Rhinolophus ferrumequinum: one gene and its partner. The protein of the gene in region 2 purifies or fractionates together with the protein of the main gene of each other region. This does not show direct contact. Links are inferred from orthologs where the notes say so. Each region holds a gene or a part of one and is shown on either strand. Other genes may lie near its edges. The genes, in order: NR1H2 and ABCA1.

The links.
Region 1: the proteins of ABCA1 (region 2) and NR1H2 purify together in Homo sapiens (affinity purification with western blotting; 3 studies listed by BioGRID and IntAct, with this or other methods). This does not show direct contact. The link is inferred for Rhinolophus ferrumequinum from reciprocal best matches to the Homo sapiens genes ABCA1 and NR1H2.

Annotation. Positions count from the first base shown.
Region 1 is NC_046298.1:45,214,501-45,226,280, reverse strand, and holds NR1H2 (oxysterols receptor LXR-beta), read right to left. Parts: upstream 7,535-11,780; 5' UTR 7,407-7,534; exon of another isoform or gene 7,391-7,406; intron 7,293-7,390; 5' UTR 7,162-7,292; intron 6,555-7,161; 5' UTR 6,535-6,554; coding exon 6,492-6,534; intron 6,412-6,491; coding exon 6,280-6,411; intron 5,991-6,279; coding exon 5,700-5,990; intron 5,619-5,699; coding exon 5,353-5,618; intron 5,171-5,352; coding exon 4,991-5,170; intron 4,404-4,990; coding exon 4,304-4,403; intron 3,513-4,303; coding exon 3,304-3,512; intron 3,009-3,303; coding exon 2,862-3,008; 3' UTR 2,427-2,861; downstream 1-2,426. UniProt on the Homo sapiens protein: Nuclear receptor that exhibits a ligand-dependent transcriptional activation activity. Binds preferentially to double-stranded oligonucleotide direct repeats having the consensus half-site sequence 5'-AGGTCA-3' and 4-nt spacing (DR-4).
Region 2 is NC_046295.1:59,053,459-59,065,238, forward strand, and holds the start of ABCA1 (phospholipid-transporting ATPase ABCA1), read right to left. Parts: upstream 5,849-11,780; 5' UTR 5,830-5,848; intron 5,782-5,829; exon of another isoform or gene 5,651-5,781; intron 1-5,650. UniProt on the Homo sapiens protein: Catalyzes the translocation of specific phospholipids from the cytoplasmic to the extracellular/lumenal leaflet of membrane coupled to the hydrolysis of ATP.

The DNA of each region.
Region 1 (11,780 bases), on a different chromosome or scaffold from region 2:
CTGTTGCTCAAACCACAAACCCCAGCCATTCAGGGCTCCTCTTCCCTACACCCCCACATCCTGCTATCTTAAACCCCCCAAACCATCTGAGCCTGACAGATCCTCTCCACCTGCACTGCAGGCTGAGCCACCTACAATCATCCCCTCTTGCCTTCTAAGTGGTCTCCCTCCTTCCACTCTTGCTCCTGTTATAATTCCACTTTCACTCAGCAGGTGAGTTTTTCAAAACGCCGGGCAGGTCATGTTGCTCTAATACTCAAAAGGCCCCATGGCTCCCTGTGGAACCAAGAATAAAAGCCAAACCCCACACCAAGGTTTACAAGGCGCTACAGAATCCGATTTCCCACATCGCCACCCTTACCTGTTCCCTCCGCTTCAGCTACAAACATGCCAAGCTCCTTACTACCTAAGGGCCTTTGCACTTGATGGCCCTTCTGCCCTTTTCTTCTTTCCATGGCTGACTTCTCCTCAAATGTCATTTCCCCTGAGACGCGATTCCTCATCACTCCAGCCAAAGAAGCAGGCTACCCTGTTGCTCTTCACTTGGGAAAACGTGTCACAGCCTGAAAGCACTGCTTTATCGTTATTACTCATTACTTGTCTACTGTCTTCCCGAGGCAAGGACCTTCTCTGACTTGGTCGGCCTGTAGCCCATTTCTACAACAATGCTCGGCAGAGTACTCGTTATTTAGTGAATAAAGAATGACACCATGCCCCCACGCGCACCACTGTGTCCCAATACCTCCGGGATCCATCCGGTGGCCCCAAAGACCCCCTAGTGTGCGTCTTCTACCCCACCCCGGAACTAGGCGCCCAGTGCATGCACCCCCTGCAGGCCGAGGGACCCCAACCCCCCACCGTCATCTTCCCGCGCCGCAGGCGCCCAGGCCCACTGGCCCCTGACCCTCTTCAGCGCGTCCCCGAGCCAAGGGGGGGTCCCTCCCGCCGCCACGCCCCACGCGACCTCTCACAACCCTCTCAGGCCTACGCGCCCAGCTCCTCAAGACCCACTCCCTGCCAGGCCAAGTTCCCTACAAGTCCCCTTCTTCCTTTACTCACCCGCTTCAAACAGCGTTTCCCGCCACAGCCTACGCCGCCGTGACCCCTGACTCCGGCGCGCGCAGGCCCAGAGCCGCCGCGCGCCGAACCGGGCCACGCCCCTCCCGCCCAAGTAGGGCAAGCCACGCCCAACAGTGGGCTGGGCCACGCCCCGCCCTTCCAACTGGGTGTGTGGCCTCGTCCTCTGGCGGATAAATTCCCGACAAACCCCGCCCCCTGGTGACGTATTCAACCCAAAGCCCCGCCCCGCCCTGGTGGCTACGTCACGGCCACGTGCAGGCTGCTTGCGCATCAACCCTGGGGTCCGCCCTCCGGTCCTCGGGCACGCGCGTACAACCTCCTCTCCTCTTGGTCTTCTGCCGGAGGACGACACTTGGAGAGGATCACCTGAACATGTCAGTCCTTCCGCTGGCGGCTTGACGTCTGCCCTTCCCTGCAGAGGCTGGGCGCTCGGGTCCCAGCCTGGTCTGTTCTCCAGGCTCACGGCCAAAGTTTCTCCATCTGTAAACTACACTCAGCATGGGGCGGGCACACCTGTCGGGCGCTGGGACACACTGCTTGGAATGGGGCGATCACTTACAACTACCTCATTTCTGCCGTCCCCTCCCCCGTCCTAAATAAAAACATACCTTTCAGTACCCAGCCCATCCCTCCAAGCAACACCCCTTTCACTCTCAGAGTCATCCATCTGAATCACCTGTGTGTCCCCTCAGGGCCCGGCACAGGGGAAAGAGGAATGAAGAGAACTCCAAGGCCTGTCCTTACTGTGACTTCACCAGGGCCTGTCACCTTACAGACCCCGCAAGTGCCCTTATTCAACTTGGGGTCCCAGGCCCCCGATTCTCATGGTTTAGGTCCCAGCTAGAACATGATCTTTGAGGCTTTGTCTCACTTCCTCCTCCGGTTCCCACAGTCACATGCTGTCCCCAGTCATACCCCCCAACTGCCAGCCCTGATGGGTAGCCACCTCTGAGGGATTTTATTTTGTTCACTGCTTCCAGTGCCTAACATTGAGTTTGGCACGTAAGTGCTTCATACATCTTTGTTGGATAAATGACATCTGCGTCCCCAGAACGGTCGTAAGTGCTCAGGCTACAAGTGACTGCAGCAAATATCTGTTGACTGAGTGAAAGCCCCGGTCCCCTCATCCTCTTCTTGCCTTTCATGAGCAGGATCTAGCTCACCTGGTACAGGGAGGTGACCCAAGGCCGTCAGGGGCCTCCCCTGAACCCCCACAGCACCCAGTCATACCACCCTGAGCCCTCTCACCAGCCAGCACCAGGTCCAGGGGGCCAGTTTCAGTGACGACCCTAGCAGCCCATCCCGTTCATCTCGGACTCAGTCTGGCTCAGGGCAGGTTTCTATTCATATTTTATTTTCCTGTTTTTGTCTTGTTTTTTCTTAAGTTTTTATTAAATAAAAAGAGCAGAGGGAGAGGGGGGCCTGTGGTCTCTCGGCTGTGGGGTAGTGCCATGGGCCCTCCCCTCCCTCTGTTCAAGGTGCACTGCGCAGTGGGCTTGAGGTGTAAGCTGGGCAGGGAGGGCAGCTGGGAGTGCTTGGCGAGGTCAAAGGTTGGGACCTGTGACCCATCCACACCTCCCAGGAAGACTTGGTGGGCAAGAAGCCTCCTAGACCCTGACTGGGGCTTATCCTGAGGGCGAAGGGCTGGCGGGGCCAGGGCCTGTGCTCTAAGCCAGAAGGTGGGACCCCAGGTCTGGCCCCTTCCCACCCAGGAGAAAGAAGGGGTGACCATGTCCGTTCATTGGAGGGTGCAGGGCTGTGGGGCAGAATGGCCAGGCCCCTCACTCATGGACGTCCCAGATCTCAGACAGCAGAGGTGGCAGCTTCTTGTCCTGGAGCCGCAGGGCAAAGACCTGCTCCGAGTGCACAGAGCTCAGCGTGCGCAGGCTCACGAGCTTCATCAGCATGCGAGGGAAGCGCAGCTGGTCCTGCAGGGGACAGGAGGGAGGTGGGCGTTGGCCGGGCCCTGCCCTGTGAGGCTCTGGTCAGCCCTCTCCGGGGTGAGCCAGGAGAGCCAGTGGGGGGAGCGGCTGGCCAGAGCATGGGGACCTGCACCCAGCTCCTTTTGAAGGGCCAGGTGCCTGAAGACAGGCTCTGCTGAGAGGACATCCGTCAGACCTGAGTGCTGCCAGGGAGCAGGGGTCGGGGTTGGACAGAGTCAGGTTCAGACAAAAGCAAGACGCCAGCCCCAGGCTGACCCCAGGAGGGGCTGGGCTCGGGTACCTGCGGCCTCTTGATGCGCGTGTAGGAGAGCAGTGCCTCCACGTAGGGCTGCTGCAGGGCCTCCACACGGCTCGGCTCCTGCACGTTGGGACGGTCGGCAGAGAAGATGTTGATGGCAATGAGGAGGGCGTACTCGGCGTCGTCCAGGCCCAGCCGCCGCATGGCCCGCGAGAACTCAAAGATGGGATTGATGAACTCCACCTGCAAGCCTGGGGGTGGGCGGCCTGCCTGATAAACTCGCCAGCTCAAAACCGGCCCCCACCCGGTCCCTGACAATGCCCGCTATCAGCGGAGTGAGGGAAACGGCAGCCATTATAGTGTTCTCACTTCTGTTCACCTGTGTTCCCACTGCCTGTCGGAGTGCCTGACATGAAGTAGGTGTGCCATAAATCTTGCCTGAGTGAGGGGATGAGTAATGACAGCAAACATTTATTCAACCTTATCTCTGTGCTCTAGCTGCCTGGGTCTCCTTGCGTTCGGTAACACTGTCCCGTTCTTCACAACCTCAGGGCCTTTGCACATGCAGATCCCCAGTGGCCAATGCTACTCCCCACCTCCCTTTTCCTAGGTGATGCCTCTCACCCCTCAGGCCGCAGAAGCCCACCACCCAGGTCACATCCCCAGGCAAGTGCTTTTGGAGGGCAGAGATTAGAGCTGCCCCGTACAGTTGGGTAGGCTGTCTACTGCACAATGGACTGAGATCCAGCCTCCCTTGGGTGAGATCAGGTTGTGGGAGGAGAGAGTGTCTCTTCTTAATTCCTACCAGGATGTCCTACGTGCTAGCAGAGACCCCTGTCTCATCCTGCACTGTGTCCCACCATGCAGTCGGTGCTCAATAAACGTGCTCTTATTTCACTGCAAAACTCACTCAACTCTCACCCCACTTTGGAGACGATGAAACAGAAGCTCAGACAGGACTGAGACAACCCAATGTTTCCCAGGCAGCCGGGCCCGTCAGGGTGCCAGTCCTGCCTCCACCCCCGAGCCTGCCGGGCCATACCCGCTCGGTGAAAGTCGTCCTTGCTGTAGGTAAAGTCCTTCAGGAAAGTGATGCACTCTGTCTCGTGGTTGTAGCGTCTGGCCGTCTCCAGCAACATGATCTGAAGGCAGCAGGGAGAGGGGTGGGCAGAAGCAGGGGCGCAGGGAATCCCTGCCCCCCATTCTCTCAGCACGCCAGCCTACAGTCTGCAGGTTGGACAGCACACTCTCTCTCTCCTCCAGCTTCAGCACACACAGCTCCCTCCACTTGGGACACTCTCCCCAGGTGGTTACGAGGCACAGGGGCAGTATTTTTGCCTGTTTTGTTCTCTGTCATGTGCCCAGCACTTGGAGTATAGCCTGGCACACACTAGTCACTCAAACCTTATTTATTACCAATGTTTTAGTTTAAATGTCAACTCCTCTAAAGAGCCTTTTTGTCACGTTCTCTAAACTGTGTCTCTTCAGCCCAATTCTCAGTTATTCTCAGCCTCAGCCCGTTTCTTTTCTCTCTCTGGCCCTTTGGAGACTCTGATTATCTTGTTTAGTATTTTGACAGGCCCCCGGAGAATATCATCCCCATAAGGGCAAGGTCTGGAGAGGCCTTGCTCATCACTGTGCTACCAGCATCCATCCTCAGGCTCATTCCTGGGGTTCCTTGAGGGCAGAAAGGAAGAGGCTTGCTGAGGGTGGGTGGCCTGGCCATTACCTCAATGGTAGATGCCTTCAGGAGCGCAATCTGGTCCTCACGGCCCAGCTGTAGGAAGCCGGGCACCTGCTTGGCGAAGTCCACAATCTCCTGGACCGAGATGATGGCCAGCTCCGTGAAGTGGGCGAAACGCTGTTGGCGGGCATCGCGGGACTGGGGATCTGCGCCCAGGGGCCAAGGCTAGGACATAGGGGTCCAGGATCACTCTCAGGACTCCTCCCATAAGCCCAAGGCCATGGGGGCACAGTGAGGCAAAGCCTGCACCCCAAAAGACCCTCCTCTCCAAGCCCCTGCCCTCTGGAGCCCCATTCCCTCCCCATCCCAGGCCCATAACCCCCTCACGGCCGAGGAAGGGGCAGTACCGTGACTTTGGGCTGATCAGAGAAGGAGCGTTTGTTGCACTGTAGCTGGGCTGCCACCAACTGCTGGATCATTAGTTCCTGAGCAGCTGTTAACTGGACACCCTCGCCTTCCCCTGAGCCCTGGCCACCCCCGTCAGACCCTCCAGGGGAGGCCCCAGGCCCAGAGGCTGAGCTGCTGCTGACCCCCGGCCCTACGGGTTGCTGCTGCTGCTGTTGCTGTTGCTTCCGAATCTTCTTCTTCCGGATCTGTTCTTCAGAGAGGACGCCTGTTGGGGAGACACAGGCCTCAGCAGAGGCCCGAGAGCTGGGCAAGGCCAGGGTGGAACTGCTCCCTCCCTGACACTCACACTGCTCCCTCATCCCGGCCTCCTTGCACTTGCGCAGCCGGCACTGCTGGCACTTGCGTCGCATGAAGGCGTCCATCTGGCAGGTTCCACCACCACGGCAGGTGTAGCGCCCGGCCCCACCTCGGACCACACTGCGTCGGAAGAAGCCCTTGCAGCCTTCGCAGCTGAGCACATTGTAGTGGAAGCCAGACGCCTTGTCCCCGCACACCCGGCACAGCTCGTGGCCCAGCATCTTTGGAGCCGGGCCCTTCTTTCGCTTGCGCTCTGGCTCCTCTGCTGGGTCTGGGATGACTGGAGTGGGTGGAAAAAAGCCATGAGACAGAGCCACGGAAAGAAACAGCAGCCAGAGAACAGGCCCGTGAGAGATCAGAGACAAGGAGCCAGAGTACAGAGGGTGACCCAGGGAGATAGCAATTCAGAGGGAAAGATGTGTATGTCAGTGAACTCCAAAGAGGAACAGGAGAAAAGAAGTTAACAAGAAACCGGGGCCGCCGGTCCTCATTTCTGATCTTTCTCCCTTCCTGGATCCTCCCCCAGCCCCGCATACCCACTCCCAGCCCATCTCTGGACCCCGTCTCACCCACGCTGCAGGCTGAGCCGGCCCCATCAGTGCCTGGGACATCAGGATCTGGACCCCCAGGCCACGGCTCAGGACGCTCCTCCTTTACAACGGGTTTAGAAGAGGGGGCGCTGGGCTGAGGGGGGACATTTCCTGGGAGAGGGAGTCACAGTGAGTTTCTCCTGACAAGTGTGTGATGGTGCGGTGGACTGAGCTGGGAAGGGCTCACTCACCTGGCAAGGGGGTATCCTGGGAACTTGTGGTGGGGGTGGACATGGTGGGGGTCACGGAGCAGCCTGCAAAATACAATGGGTCTGAGAGTCTGTGGGGCTAGGGAAGTTCAGGTGAGGTCAGCCACAGGTCTTGAAGGGGTCACCTGTTTCTTCCATCTCTCTCAGGCTCCTTCCTTACTGCATATAGACCTCACCCCAAACCCCTGCCAGTCTACAAAGGCTTCCAATTCTAAAAGGGTCCCCCCCCAACTTCTGATCCAAAACAACCTTTTGCATGACCTCAAACCCCGCCCCTCCTTTAAGTTGTGTCTGATCCAGATACCTTCCACAGGCTCTTTCAAGGTACTGCCCCTTCTGCTTCAGTCTGGCTCCACCCTTACTTCCTCCTTTCCACTGTTTCATCCCACCTACTCTTACTACATCCCACCTCTACGCGAAAGCAAACCTATTATAACTCATTTTGACCCCACCTCCTACTATTATGCTCCGCCCCCATCTTCTCCACCTAGGCTCCGACCAATCCCTTCCACGTTCCACTCTGACTCCTCCCACAATGCGCTTCCCCATCACTTTGCTCTGCTCCATCAGCACCTCTCCCCTCCAGGTCCCGCCCCATCTCCTCCCATTATGCCCCGCCTCCACCTCCTCCCACCATGCTCCGCCCCCACACCTCGCTCCAGGTCCCGCCCCTCTCCGAACACCAGTGGGGGGCGGGGCTCATGGCTGCGCGCGAGGGTCTCGTGGGCAGTCTCTCGCGGGGTCTCCTCCCGTTTCCCTGGAAACAGTCGGGGGAGACGCGAGCTATGGAGGGGAGGGAGAAGAAGGAGAGAAGGGGCTCAGCGGAGCAGCGCGGGGAACTCCGAGAGGCTCCGGGCCGGGCTCCTCCCGCGTCTCCTCACACTCGGGTGCACCTGCCTCCGTCCCCTTGCTCTGCTTCTCCTCCTTCTCCTCTGTATCCCCTGGCACGCTGCCGCCGCTCGGGTCCCCTCAAAAGTAACTTCGCCACTTCTTCCGGCAACCCCACTGTGCGTCACTTCCTGAAAGGGGCGGAGATTCAGGGGTGACAGACTTCCGGTCCGCCTAGGACTAACCTAGTCGGCTGCCCCGCACGGAAGTCGTATACCCGCCGGAAGTTTATCATTGGGTGTAGCTCCCTTGGGGGCCTGCAGAAGAATTCCGGACTCATTCGCCCTATCGTGGCCAGATCCAAACTTTCCCTCCTGGCACTATGTGTTTTTATGGGCTCCCAGCAAGATTTATTTGGCATAAGTCTCCCCAGCTATAGTTCCTTTTCGCATTGGGCTGATTGAAAGCACGTTTGTCCTTTTTTGATTGTTAGGAGATTTCTGATTTTGGAGGTGCTCTACTTGTTAGTTTTAAATAAGTTAAATTGCAAACCTAGACCCAGAATAAAAATATTTTAAAAATAACTTGGTAATAGGAAGAATTTCTTTTTAAAGCGTAGCCTTACCAAAAAGATGCAACTAATAGCTTTTAAAAAATACTTTTTAAAAAATGTGTTTAAGTATTTTTTTCCAGGACCCATGAGCTCCAAGTCTTGTAGTTGTTTCAATCTGGTTGTGGAGGACGCAGCTCACAGTGGCCCATGTGGGGATTGAACCGGCAACCTTGTTAAGAGCACTGTGCTCTAACCAAGTGAGCTAACCAGCCACCCCAAGTAAGAGCTTTTAAAGAAAACTCAGAATACTTATATGGGTAGAAGATGGAAATTGTTCCAAAGTCTTGATGATGATAATCAGATTATAGCGAGCATATACACATTGTTTTAAAATGGGAATACAATATATGATCCATGCTTTTTGTAGCTTGTTTTGTCCATTCAGGCATGGCCTTGAAGCTGTGGAATTTCCAGCTGAGGGTGTTACCAATAAAAACGAGTGGTTAACGTGGGCATGGGGGGGATGGCTGAACCAGGGGCTCTGCTACTTTCTCGCTGTGTGATGTTGAGCCAAGCTATTTACCCTCCCCATGCCTCAGTTTCTTCATCTGTAAATTGGGAACAACAATTCATTGCATTGTCATTATAATTAAATGAAGTAAAAACTATGAACTGGGCCAGGCTCAAACAAGGAACCCAACATGTGGAAGCTATGTTTATTCCTGCAGATGTTCAAGTTGTTTTTAACTTTGTTAGAACAGTGCAAAAGGCTGAAATAGACTGAAGATGAATTGCAACAGTTTGGGGGCAAGTCATGTCACTCTCAGCCTCAATTACCTACCTGTAAAATGGGGGAAAATATTTGAATTTCTTATCAAAGGTGCGAAGATTCAGGAAGAGCAGTACCTGGCATATCTAAGCATCCAGTCAGTTTTGTTATCTGAACCTAATTGCAGACCACTGTTCTCATTTATAACTCACCTAATAACCCTATTTTTTAGTAACAGCTTTACTGACATAAAATTCACATACCCATACAATTCACCCATTTTCAATGTACAATTCAATAGGTTTTAGTATATTCATGGAATTGTTGCAACCAACACCACAATTTATAACACTTTTGTCACCACCCCAAAAAAGAAGCCCCATGCCCACTAACAGTCACCCTCACTTATCCCATCATCTGAGTCCTAGGCAACCATTAATCTACTTTCTGTCTGTATGGGTTTGCCTATTCTGGACATTTCCTATAAATGGAATCTTAGACTATATGTCCTTCAGTGTCTGGCTTCTTTCACTTAGCATGATGTTTTCAAGGTTCATCTACATTGTAGGATGTATTAGTACTTCATTTCTGTTGTGGCTGAATGCTATTCTATTGTGTGGATAGACCATATTTTATTAATTCATCAGTTGATGGACATTTGGGTTATTTCTATTCTTGCCTAAAGTGTTGCTATGAACATTCAAACACGAGTTTTTGTGTAGTTATCTGTTTCCATTTCTCTTGGGTATATACCTAGGAGTTGAATTGCTGGGTCATATGGTCACTCCATGTTTAACTTTTTGAGGAATGGCCAGACTGCACACATCATTTTACATTCTCACCAGCAATATGCAAGGATTTCAACTTCTCTACATCCTTACCAACACTTGTTATTATCTGCATTTTTAAAAAATTTATTGGGGTGACAATTGTTAGTAAAATTACATAGATTTCAGGTGTACAATTTTGTATTACATCATCTATAAATCCCATAGTGTGTTCACCACCCAGAGTCAGTTCTCCTTCCATCACCATATATTTGATCCCCCTTACCCTCATCTCCCACCCCCCAATCCCCTTACCCTCTGGTAACCACTAAACTATTGTCTGTGTCTATGAGTTTTTATTTCTAATTTGTTTGTCTTGTCCTTTTGTTGTTTTTGGTTTATATATCACATATCAGTGAAATCATATGGTTCTCTGCTTTTTCTGTCTGACTTATTTCACTGCATTTTTTATTATAGCTATTCTAGTGGGTGCAAAGCGATATTTCATTGTGGTTTTAATTTGCATTCTGATACCCAATTCTATTTCTTTTAATCATAAATAATTTGTAACATGTAATTCTGCTTTTACTATTCTGAAGTGAAATACAGAGATGATACAGCTGAACTATGACCCCAACAACAAAATAGCATCTTACTTCACCAACTGCAATACAAAAGATGAAAAATAGAAGCTAACTTGTAATAAAATCATATGTGCTTCAACATAGGTACATGAAAGACACAATATGGCAGCTAGCTCTTACTTCAAAATATAGAATTACTGTGAATTTGAAAGCTACAGTGCAGTCTGACACAGGACTGTTGTATGAACTCATATGCCTTAGACAGCATGGGTGATGTGATGTTTTCCAAAATTGTGGCAAAGTCTTAATATAAGTTATCAGTAAGATTGGGCAGGAATAATTTAGGCATATTTAAAAAGCAACAAGGAAGTTAGGGTGGCTAGAGTGGAGAGGGGTCAGGGGAGAGTGCTAGATAAGATCATAGAGGGAGCACGGTTAGATAATGAGGTCTTGTGGGCCACACTTGTCCAACACCGGCTAAGCATTCACAAAAAACGGTCCCTTTCCCTTGGTGACACAAATGACTACATTTCCCAGCATCCCTTGCAGCTACATGCCATTCTGGCCAATGGAAGGAGAGCAAAAGCAATAGATCACCGCGAGGGAAAGCAAGGCATCTGGGCTGATTCCAAGGTGTTTGGAACCTCAAGACCGGGGTTCAACTTCCCACTGAGTACACCAGGGCTGTTCCTTCCCCCAACCTCACACCTCAGTTTCCCCCTTCTATAAAATGTGGACAATAATTCCTCTTTTATAAGGTTGCTAGGCAATTAAATAAAATGGTGGACTGAAAAATCTAGTAATCTTTATCCAGTCGTGAGATTGTGCTGAATGAATTTGGAGACCCAAAAAGCAGTCAGGCGTGAGCCTTAGGTTGAGGGCCTTTTAGTCTGATGGTGGAAGTGGACCTGGTCACAAACCACTTTGTGACAAAATAGTGACGATTGGGTCCCATTTGCTGATTGTATTTAGAAGACATCTCCCAGCCTCCTTGGGCAGGTGGCAGTCAGGCAGGAAGCATTTACTTGGCTTCTCTTCCCATGGAGTCAGTATTCTGGTCAGTGGGAACCTCAGGGGCAAAAGCAGGGAGGCTTGAAATGTGTTCCAGGATTTCAGCTCAAGAAACTGGGGAGGTAAAGTTTAAAAGTGAAATATTAACAGGAAAAATTGCTACCCTGGAGAAGGTGCTTAAAAAGTACTTGTTGGATGTCAGGAAATTAAGTTGAACTAAGAGACTGGTTCTTCATGGTTACAAGAAAGCTCACCAAATATTATTGCCAATGGAAAAACGTTGTGCGTAGCGTCAACCATTTTCATAGCGTCTATACTAATTTTTTAAGATTTTCAGGAAGTGTATATTGAAATTTCTGTGAAAAAACAAATGTAACTATTATCAGAATTCATGTAAAACAGGCTGATCAGAAAATATTTTCTCCATACTAAATAGCGGATAATCACAAACCTTTACATTTACATCTGTTAGGACCATGGTTCATAAAGTTTGAATAAGTCATAAACTAGGACTCCGAAAAAGAAACTCATATGGAGAGTCGGGAAAGAACAGATATTGACTGGGAAACTAGGCCCACACCACCACCGTGTGGCCATTTTGGAATTTGCAGGCTGGGTCTGGATGATGCAGAATCCGGTGCGGAGATTCTGAGGAGTCAAGACTGAGGATTCGAACTGTTGAGACAGAGGAGGGGGAGTTGTAGTGAGAGTTACTGTAGAGAAACTGACTCTCCATCTGCTGTGTCAGGAAAATCCCCC
Region 2 (11,780 bases):
ATCCCTGTCCTTCTCTGCATCGTGTTTGCTCTATTGAAATGTATTGCAATGAACTAACTCCTCCTTCCTTGCATTTCAGATGAGAATTTCCTTCTGGTTCTGTGACTTAAGTCTTTGTCCACCTAATGCACATACTTAGGCAATTTCAACAACTTCCTTTCCTTCTTCCTCTCCTCCCATCATCTTCCTTTCCATCATTTCTCGCATCAGGAACGCTCTTGTGCATCCCCTGGGTGTTTCCCCTTTACCTCTCAAAATCCACAAGATCTGTTACACTAATGTCCCTCAAGACATACCTCCTGGAAGCTCCAATCAAAGGATCATCCTTGTCCCTAAACACAAACCTATAGAGGACTTTAAAAGTCAAGTACTTCAGCCTCTTTCATTTTATAAACCAAGAATCTAAATCTCAGAAAAACAGAATGACTTGTCCAAGGTCACATGTCTCCTTAGTGGGTTTCTGGAATTATATGCAAAATATAATTATGTGTAAACTTGTAATTATATGTAATTATATGTAAATTCTGGAGCGTACATGTCTATGTATATTTTTTCTGAAGGGATAATCCACAGCTTTCATCATATTCTCAAGGTAGTAAAAAAATCCTCTCCTAAATAACCACAGATTGGTTTTAGGTACATAAAATTCTTCCTAGGAAATGTCCCACACTATATACCAGTTATCCAGTTATCGTAAAACATCTTGACTTCAAGACTAACCAGAAAAAATGCTTTGACTTCCAAATACTTCTTGGAAGTCGGATTTAGCATAAAAAATGTTGCAGAGTTTTAAATAAACACACACACACACACACACACACACACACACAGAGAGAGAATGAATAAAATAGATCCTATGCATAAAAGGATTTTGGTTTTTAAAAACTATTTAAATTATAAATTACTGAATTATCTCATTCTTATTTAAAAAATAAATTAATGTGCAAATCAAAGTACTCTGAATGTGAAATGTCACCGACTATAGCATTTTTTCAAATTGCAGCTGCTTCAAAAAGAGAAATGAAACTGAATAGACTCAGAATTGTTTGTTCTCCAGAAAGTTAGCTGGTCAAGATAATTTAAGTACAGGCTAAAATTTCTCAATCATAAACCTAAACTTAAGTACAGTTATTTCTCATATAATTTTATTTCTAAAGCTTTTCTATGATTATTCCATCATTTTAGTTCAGCTTTTAGAATAGAGGAAACAAACAGTAGTTTCCCATTGTCTTTGACTTGCTCGAGTCAGCATTTATTGAACTCCTTGCATACCCCATATAAAGGGAGTTGAATTAAGGACTGGGGAGAGTGAATGGAAGATCTCCTCCTGGAGGAGGAGGTCTTTCCTTCCACTCAAAAGGAAGACAAATAAATGTTAACTATTTCCAAAAAAAACACAATTAAATACATGGCATGAATACTGTTGCAATCCAGTCTTATGGGAGTAAAAAAGAAGGGGATAATTAATTTTAACCCTGTGTTGGCAAGGAAGAGTTGAATCCACAAGTTTAGGAGAACGATGGCATTTCAATCAGGTCTTAAAATGGGTGTTCAAAATGTAAAAAGACAGAATTTCAAAGTTAATTTTTTTTTAGGATCCAAGTCTTCGTTCTTTGTTAAACGCTCTTTGCTTTAATATAGTTTATCATCTCAACAAAATGCAGCGTAACCAAAGGTTCTATCTGAAAGCAGTTTTATACACGAGATTTTCATTCTCTGGCTTCAAATATTTTTCATACGTACCTCTCTAACAATATCTATGCTGATTACCTATCCAGGGAACTATTTTTAGGTGAAAATAGACAAATGAAAAGGAAGAATAACTCCTTGCCTCGTGCTAGTATTTCAATTAGAAACCAAACTTGCGTGGATGCAAGCTCAGCTCCACTACTTACAAATCTATGATCACACTGCTCACAAACTCTATACCTCAGTTTCCCTGTCTATAAAAAGAAGATAATAACAGTCTGTACCTCATGTGGTCTTGTGAAAATGAACTGAATTATTACATGTAAAATGCTTAAAACAACATCCAGCATATAGTAAATCCATAATAAATGTAACTGTTTTACCAAGAAGAAATGTTTTCTAAGAGTTTATTTTTAATTTGCTACACCAATTTAATAAGAAAAAGTTTTCCATCCTATTTCACTTTTATAAAGCAGACTTTGAAATTGCTACTTATTTTCAGAGAAAAATGCCTAAAAAAGGCTAAATTTGCTTCCTAGACAGTAATGGCAATAACAGAGAAATAGCTCAAAAGGTCCAAAACATAGTTAGAGATAGAACAGGCAGGAATCGTATTGAATTATAGTCATTTTTTAAAAAATTCACCAAAGTTAGGACTGACAGACAGTTAAATAGCTAGCTCTCTTTCCTTTCTCTTTTGTTGCTTATATTTTTACTGCTAAATACTCTGTTATTCCATGTTCTTTGTATCACACAGGAAAACATTTTGAGATCATAGACCTACTCACAAATATTTGACTGAAGCAATAGTACTTTTTTCATTATAAATCAAGTAAAGAATTAGAGTTGAGTAAATCTTATTGTCTGTTCTTTCCATGGTGTTGCAATCCCTATGCAACCAATGTCCCAACAAGCAGAAGAGAATTTGGCTGGCCCACTCACAGCAATAAGGGAAATATGATACAGGCTGTTGATTCTGATAAGAATTTAGCAGATGCGTGTACCAAAACACAGTGTGAGCATCCTTGGAAAGTCCTCTGCTCCCAGCAACTGTAACTGTACCACCTCACGACTCAGTGTGGGAGTTCAAGAACTCTGGAGCTCACTGGCTAAGTTCAAATCTTAGCTCTGCCACTTGCAAGATGTATGGCCAGGGAGAAGTTAGTTAACCTCTCAGTTTCTTAATCTACAAAATAGGAATAATAAATGGGTTTGTTGCAAAGATTAAATTAGTATTTGAAAAACATTTGGAATAGTACTTGGCACATACTGCTATTTAATAGTCATTAAATAAACATTGTAATAACTTTGGCATTTATGATTATTTCCACATGCAGATACGAAGACAATCTCTGTTTTCAGTGTACATCCTCTGCCAGGAGAGTTAAATAAAACAAATTTTCAGAAAGATCTTTTAAAATCTGATGCTGGAGTAACTGACCACTAAGGAACATTATACTTGCATTATTTCTTTAGTACCCAGATAGTAAATAAAAATATATTTGGATTTAAGAGTATTTTAGAAATGCAAAAACCACATCTATTGGTATTTTCTAGATATCCAAAAGGTTCCTAATTAAAGAGTAAGGCAATGTCCATTTAATTATTTCAGGAGCTAAAAATTTAAATCACAAACATATTAACAATTGTGGTCACTACGAACATAGTATAAGCAACTTGTATTATGGAGGGGAAGATCCCTAAAACAAAAAAATTTAACTCAAAAAATATTCCAACTTCTCTATATATAAGTACTACAGAAGATAATAAAAAGCTGTGTTGCTGAGTTTCGTTTGGTTTCACTACTTTTTAATAATGTAAGCATTGAGACTTCCTAGAGCATTGGTTTAAACCAAGTCCCAATTACCGTTTTCCAGTCCTAGACTAATCATTGTCTCACATGAACTATCAATATGCCCAAGCCAAAATGTGTCCAGCATCCATCATAGGCCTCTATTTAGATATAAATCAAAATACTTGTAAGGGTTGAGATTTCAAATACTCATCTGGACAGGAGATGCACGTATCGTAGGTATCTCCTTCACAATCATATGTGATTCTGGAACACCAAGCTTGTCCTTGCAAAGGGGCTCGTCAATTACTCTGACTACAGTAGCAATTAATTCTTACCCTTACGTGGACCTTGGTCATCACGAAGTCTGGTCACGGTGATCCTACTGCATTTTCTCAAGTAGATACGAATTTGCTTTGTGTATCCAATGTATTCCGAACTCTATCATGAATTATTTTAATACTTTATAGAAGCATTTGGGAAACAGGCTGACAATGGGAACTTTGCACTTGAAAATTATTATACTATCTTAAGAGATTCTATTCTAGAACATTCTCCATGCTTTCCCACTTTCTTTGATTTGGGAGAAGTATCTCAAGAGAATGATATGAACTACAGAAAGCCTCCATTATTGTTGTGGTAGGTATGAGGAAAAGGGGCTGAAATAAAAGGGGAGATGAGAAATTAAGTACTTGCTGATTTTTTTGTCACCAAGGAAGTTTTTTTAAATATCAAAGTTGTCCTCTATTATATGAATGTATATACCACCCACTCACTTTGTGAGATGTCACTGAAAAGCCTTGGGTTTTAAAAGCTGATGGTATCAATGATGCCAAAGGGTCAATTATTTTAAGCGCCAGAAGCTTTTTCTTTCTCTTCTAGTCTCTCCTCCCCCCGCCCCGCTTTTTTTATCTTGTTTATTTCCTTTCTTCTAATAAGTGCTGAAAAAGAGGCACCTACAACACAACTCTGGCACTGGCCCACGCCCCAAGAACCTTCGGATTTAGCAACGGTCTGGGAGTCGAGATACATTCTAACAAAAAAAAACAGACCAGCTTTCGCCTAATTCCCCAGGTTTCCTTCTTCAAGAGATCTTGGTCTGAACTCGCGAGCGACAACGCCTTACAGAGCCCGGCCCCACGCCAGCCACAGGGCCGATTCCCAGGCCACCCGGCCAGGAGGCGCTGCGGGCCAGTCCCCCGGGGCCACGGGCAGCCGGCGCCCAGCCCCTCCCCACCCCCACTGTGGAGGCCAGCCCAGCCGCGAAGCTGAGTTCTGCACCGCCCGCCGGGGTTACTCTCGGTCATTCCGCTGCACCATCTCGCCCCAGCTTCTTTCTTCATCCGTGCCCTCCCTGAGGCTGCTCCAAGAGACAAGCACCAAAGGGCAGGAAGATGGGGGACGAGAGAATAGGCACCTCGGCTCTAGGATTCCGCAGGCTCTCCTTCTAAGTCTTCTGTTTTTCAAAGGAACAAAACTCGTCCCCCCGCCCCCACCCCACTGAGCCAGGTACACCAGCTCGGGTGAGCGCACGGAGACCATCCGCAGGACTTCCAAGTCAAACAAAGCCCCTGAGGCCTCAAGTGAGCAATAGCTACGGACCCCGTTTGGGACACCTCCCAGTCGAGTTCTTGGGGAACAAGAACGCCTACTCCAGTCCGGGGACGCACGGGGCCGATCACCAGGTCAGAGCCCAACTTAGAGCAGCTTCCCAAGAACGGAATAGGGACTAAGTGCTGGCATTCATCCCTATGGGCGCCGGCAGACCTGCAGCCAGAGGGGTTTCTAGCCAGCTCAGAAGCTTCCAAACAAAGGGAAGCACTCTGTGTGGGACCTGCCACGCTGCCCACTCCGGCAGCAGTGCCCCCAGCACGACCAGGAGCCCCCCCATCCCACTGCGCCCTAGGTATTGCGCCCGAGTCTCCACGCCCAGAGATGCTCCCTGAGCTCCACTGCAGGGCGAGTCCGGGACGCAGCAGCGCCGGGCCTTTGGGTGGCCGAAGCTCGTCCTAGGACGTTCTCCCTGCATTTACAGCACCCGCACCATTTGCGTTGCCAGAGACGGGGATGTGAGGGTTCGGACTAAACTCCCCGCAACCTAGCGCTTCCCAAAGACTCCTCGGCCCCAAAACAAAACAATAACGCCTAAGTCCCTGGAGAGCCTCTTACCTGTTTTCCACTTTTGTGTTTGCGTCTCTTTTCCCCACCCCTTGAAAAACCCTTCCAGAGAAGGGGGGAAAAATCCCAAAATAAAACCGGAAAAAAAGAAAGAAAAAAAAAAGGAGCAAAGCGCCCGGAGAAATTGGCTCTAGCGGCGCTGGTCCTGCGGCGCCTCCTGCCCTGCCCACCTGCGCCCGGGGAGAGAAGTGTGGACTCGGCTTGTCCCGGCCCCAGTCACTCTCCCTCGGAATTACCGGGCTTTTGCCGCGACTAGTTCCTTTTATAGATTCGGCTGTGCTGAGCGCAGGGGTTACTATCGGTCAAAGCCTGTTCGCTTTGCCTCCTTCCCCGCCCCCTTTCCCGGCCTCTGTTTTTGTAGTTCAGTCACTCAGCAGAAAGCACGTGGAGCCGCGCCCCGCCCCTTAAATGGGCGACGTCCCGCCGCTCCCCGCGGGACTGCGGGCGATGGGTGGAAAGCCGGGGGTGCTGCCGGCATCGCCACGTCCGGGGTCTGCGCCTCCTGTCCCCGCCCAGCCCTGGCCTCGTAGGATAAGAAGGCAACGCGGGGCTTGGGGCTGCGCGGGACACTGTCTCTCTCATCCACGTTCCGGGCAGCCAGCAGCATTAGTGGAAATCGCTTCCTCTCAACCCGTGCTGTTCAGCAACGTTTTTTCTTTGTTAGTTCACTCAGTCGTTGGGATTGGACGGAGAGAGAAAGTGAGGCTGAAAACCTGCCTGACGCCAACCATTTAGTCTTTCTTTCCTTTCAAAAGCCTAAGGTATGGGAGAAGGCGGACAGTCCTCTGGATAATTGGCTGTTTTTGTTTTCCTCCACAAACCCTGACTTTGGTATTCAATAGGCAAGCTATTGCCTTTGGGATTCCCAGCCTGGGAGGGCCAATGAAAAGCGTCTTGCTCCTCTTCTTAAACTGGGGTGAGGGGGAAGGAAGGACAAATAACGGAACCATGTGGACCAGCCCCCTTTTTATTTTCATTGCATTGGTCAGCATTCCAGTGATATATACACAGGGCTTGTATTTTGGCTTCTATAGATTAGCAAAGTGCAGCTAGAGAATCACAATCAAGTAAAATTATGTAACCATCCAGATAGATCTCCAATTTCTTCCTCTAACTTTGGCTTTGCCAATCAGAAGCAAGGCTGCTCATAACATTCAAGGGACAGCGGAAAGATTTCAAATGGGGGCCCACATACTTAAGTCTAAATATTGAAGTCATAAATCAAGCCAACAGACTGTAAAATAAATGTCTCCTACCTTGACAAAGATACCTTGGAAGCAACCCAGAAGGGCAAGTTCATGTTCAGACTCCTCATAGTTTGACCTTAGTTTTGGTGGAACGGGACAGGCTGCCCCCAGACCCTTTCTCTTCCCATCTTCAGCTCCATTATATTCCAGAAGAACCTCCACTGTGTGCACGTGGACCCCCAGCTGCACAAGCTCTCTTCATGGGAACCGTGAAGACCACAACTGGAACCCAGGTGCAAAAGCCACTGGTTGTGTCAACACTCCGGACAGACTCAGTGAGGAAGCCCATGCAGAGCCTGCAAAGTACACTTAGGAGCCTTAGGACAAGGAACTCTGGGGTCCCAGCACTCTGGTGTCCTGGCCCTGTGGACTGCTCATCCTTAGGAAGAGATAGAGTTGGAGGAGAGCCAGAGGCAAGCCTTCTGAAGCTCAGGTGCCAGGAGAGAGGTCCCTCTTGCCTGGGTCAAAGAACAAAGGGGTCAAATTTGAGTGAACCACATGATCCATAACTTTCTGCCTCCATGTTTTCATCTGGAAAATGGAGAAAATATATATTCTCTCCTTGCCTCACAGGAGTTATCTGAAAGTGAATTTTGTTTATTTTAAACTCCTTGAAAGAATGGCACTATAAACAAAGAGGGTGTTATTTGCTGACTATTAATGTCATTTTCAGATATCAGCCGTGGCCTATAAAGATTTTCCCATGGCAAACTTTTAAAACTTCAGGTCTAGCAAACAGTTAAAAGTAATATCTCTGGACCTCTAGAGATAAAGGAAAGCTCCTGGAGGAGGTGTTACCATTCCAAGTGTGATTTGGGGGAGTGATTAGGTCTCCCTGACTCTCTATTCCCTGCACCCCCACCCACCCACCTATCACAGTGCTTAAAATCCCACCACCAAAATTATTGTTTTTGGAATTTTAAAGGCTATGGTTCCCAAGAGCACCCCTACTAAACTAATCCCTTAGATTATTTTATTGGGAAAGGAGCGACAAGAAGTCTTCACAAATAACAAAAAGATAGGATGCTGGAGAAAGGAGTTGAGCCCAAGAAGATGAAAGCCCCAGAGAGAGGATAGCCATTGATTCTAAATACATAAATCAGTGGCCCCAAAGCCAAGCTTGATCATTTTTAGCTAAGAAAAACCAGTGGTGTCAAGAACCTGCTCACCCCTACAATGAATACATGTATATACTACAATGTTTGAAATCTGTTTATAGTCTCATTGATTTCTACCAATAAAAGCCCAAGAGGCTATGTGATTTGGCCAGGTGATGTAGGAACACAAGTCTGCTGACACCAAGCCCATACTTTGCCAGGGTGACAAAAATACTGAATTCTAAAAGTTAGAGCCTAAGAGAACGTGTCCCTTGAGGAAGTTTACAAGTGTGAATTCTCTCCCTTGAATGTCGTAGGTTGATTTTTTTTTCCTGAGTATGCTTTAGTGAGCTTTTCCCCAAGTTTTGCAATTCCTGCTAGTAACACCAACACCAAAACTCCAAATCTGCACCCTATGTGGCCCTCTCCAAATATGTAGGAAGGCCCTTCTTTGTTACTGTTGCTCTGGAGAATCTGATTCTGTAAATGTAGCCTGGGGAGCCTAAAGTTCTAGTCTGAAATGACCCTGGCATCTTCTAATCAGGGAATCACCCTTCAGGCAGCTGTGACCTTGGAGACCCTGCTAGAGATCGTGGAGCTACAGAGAAGCTCAATTTTATCATTCCATTGAGACTTTCAAATTATGGATTATCTAAAAGGCTTTCTTGGCGGTTGCTTTGATATATAGTATCTGTTAACTGGTCTACATAAATGTACATATACACATTTCTTAAAATATAAATGATTCCCATCACATACGTATTTTTGGTTGGTATGTATTGTGTTTTGTTCCTGAAAACTCTGAAAAAATAGAGTATTACACAAAGTCAATGAAGAATAAAAAGAAAATATTCTAAGAATAAGTTTTCAAGCTGAATTTGTTATAATTAAAAAGACCTAAAAGCTGGATTCTTTTTTGAGAATTCCACGGAAAATGAGAGGTGCCTCAAAAAAGAAAAAAAAAAGGTAATCCTTTCATATACGGAGGGAAAAAAAGGACCTGCAGTTCATATCTGAGTCAGTTTAATTCCAATACATGGTTAGACACACCAACAAATCGTCAAGCAATTGATGTTTAAATTTTTTTTTAAATGAGGAATCGCCATTATTTGTGGAGTAAACTATGTATTGCACATTGCACAGGCTCTCTGTACCTACGAATTCAGTTTAATTAGACCAATGCAATTCCCTTCTGTATTAATGTGACTGCTATTGACATTTAAGCAAGATTCAAAACCATTACTGTTCTTGGATTTGAGTAAGATCTGTTCTTTGTCACTGGGATCAACAAGTTAGCCTGGCTTATAGACAGATATGTGCCCCTGAATTACTAGTTGATCGATGAGTTATAATTCTTTCTTAAAAGCCATCCTTCCCACCTGCCTCCCTTCACACTCTCCTTCCCGTAAGAGCCAAACTGCTGGAAAGATTTCATCTCCCCTCCCTCCCTTTCATTCCCTCACCAGCCCATTACAGGCAAACTCTTGCCCCCGCCACTCTGTTCTGTCCAAATTCATTAGTGACCTCCTTAAAAAGAGATAGGCATGTGAGCTTTCTTTTTTATCAGTATATAAAACAAGACCATTAATTGGTACCGCTGATGACCTCCTTTTAGTCCTTAGGCTACCTGATCTCTGGTATCTGACACTATTGACCACACCTTCCTTCCTGAAACCAGTTCTTCTCTTGTATTGCGTGAATCCAGTTCTCTTATGCCTCTTCTGCCTCTTTCACGGCTCTTTTTCTGACTCCTCTTTCCTTATATATATTTCCCTTTATACTGGTTTTTCTCTGTCTATTTCTACATGCTCCACTCCCGTGGCTTCACTTAAACCCTGTGTCGCCAGCTCTTATCTCCTCCCTGAGCTCCTGGACTGTGTTCCCTAATTACGTAGAATACCCAGCAGGACCAGTGGGGTGCTGGAGTCAGCTCACTCCGGCTCAGAAGAGCTGACTGTGTATATCTCTTCCCACCTCTGCAGTAAGTGACTTCCATGGGGCTAGTTTAAAATCAGCCAATGGTAGGAATATTTACACCATTGGAAATCTGATACAAGTGGGGCTTTCTTTTATTTTTTTGGAAAGCCAGTTAACATTTACCAGCACACTGAACGAGACAGTCTGCCGATAAACCCCGGACCAATTTTTAATCTTCCCTTTATGTCTCTCCCCTCCAGCTGCATTTTATCATTTCACTTAATGACATCATCATCCACACATTGACTATGGGAAATCATAGTCACCCTTGCTTAACTTTTCATCTCTGTGTCCCCATCGTTTCCTTCTCATTCTAAAAAGCACCAATGTCGGGTCAGTCAAACATATCTCTTAAAGTTGCCCCTTCATCTCCACACCCACTGCTTAAGCCCAAGCCAAAGGTCTGTGCTTCTGTGTTGCAGTAACCTCCAAACTGCTGTTCCTGCCTTTAGTTTCTTCCCCTTCCTATTTATCTTCCCTAACACCATGGAGTAATTTTTGCTTTGGGGGGAGAAACCCTAAGCAAACCAACACAAAACCAAAAAATAGTCATATCTTTTCCCCCCCTCCCAAAACTGCCTATGGTTCTCCATTGCTTACAAAGAAAAAAATACCCTCAAAATTCCTTAAGAATACCTACAGACACCTTTGCAAACATGACATTTGCAGGCCTTTGGAGCCTCATTGTAGGCGCTGCTTCCTCTTTCATTCCCCCACTCCTATCTTATCTTTGCCCATTCCCCTGTCCGCAAACTTTCCATGTCTCTGCACATGCAGTTCCCATTGCTTGGAAATCGTCATCTCCACCCCTCTCTTCCTGTGTAAGATTACACACTGAAAGAGATGGATGGGATTAAATAACAAATCCATGTGCTTCTACTCTAGAAGCAGGAGGCAAAAGGGACAGAGAAGAAAAGGAAGGAAAAGGATATAGAAACCACTTCCCTCATTAAATAGAAAGTATGGGACATAGGGTAGGGGAGAGAGACAGAAAGAGAGGGAGGAAGGGAGGGAGGGGAGTATAAAGGAGGGAGAGAGAGAGGGAATTATTACAGATAGATATTGTTGTAAGTACTGAAATTAATAGGCCAATAATACCCTCAGCTCAGATCCATTAGTAAGTGTAGCAATAGATTCAGAGGGGAAACACTGCCCTTAAGTTTGAAAAGAAAATAATTAGACTCTGTGGATTAAAAGAAATCAAGCATTTATTGTAACAGAAATGATGTGTCTACATTCTTCTCTCCTTATTCAAAGTGCTTTTTTGATACTTATTAAGAATCCATATTCCTGGCCATGATTTCTGGGATGAGGGACTGTTTTATTTCTTAGCCAGGAGCTTTCTTTCTCTCTGACATATTAATAAGAGAATTAAGTCATTAAAAAAAAAAAAAAAGAAATCCTAAAAAATGTTCCAGATTTCCCTTTTCTCTTAGGCCCCTAGAAAGGCAAGCCTCTCTTTTTCTCCTTCAGTATTTTGGGAAGGATTCCTGCAGAAGTACATGGTCTTCCCTTTATTATCCTCCCCCTCTCCAGTGGTCTTGTGGTGGTTTGATCTGGCCTTGTACAGTACCCTTCTACCCTTCTGCAATTGTCTAGACAGAATGCATGTTTTTACCTCCTCAAGGACTAACTGTCCAGATGTGCTGTGACCATGTCATGGGAGCAGGCCTTTATTTCCCTTCCTTGTTGCCATGCTTCTGGTAACTGATGTTGTCCAATGAAATCTGAGCTATTTCTTAGCTGGTTACATGGCCCAGAAAATCACACGCACAGAATCACCCACAAGGATGTAAATTA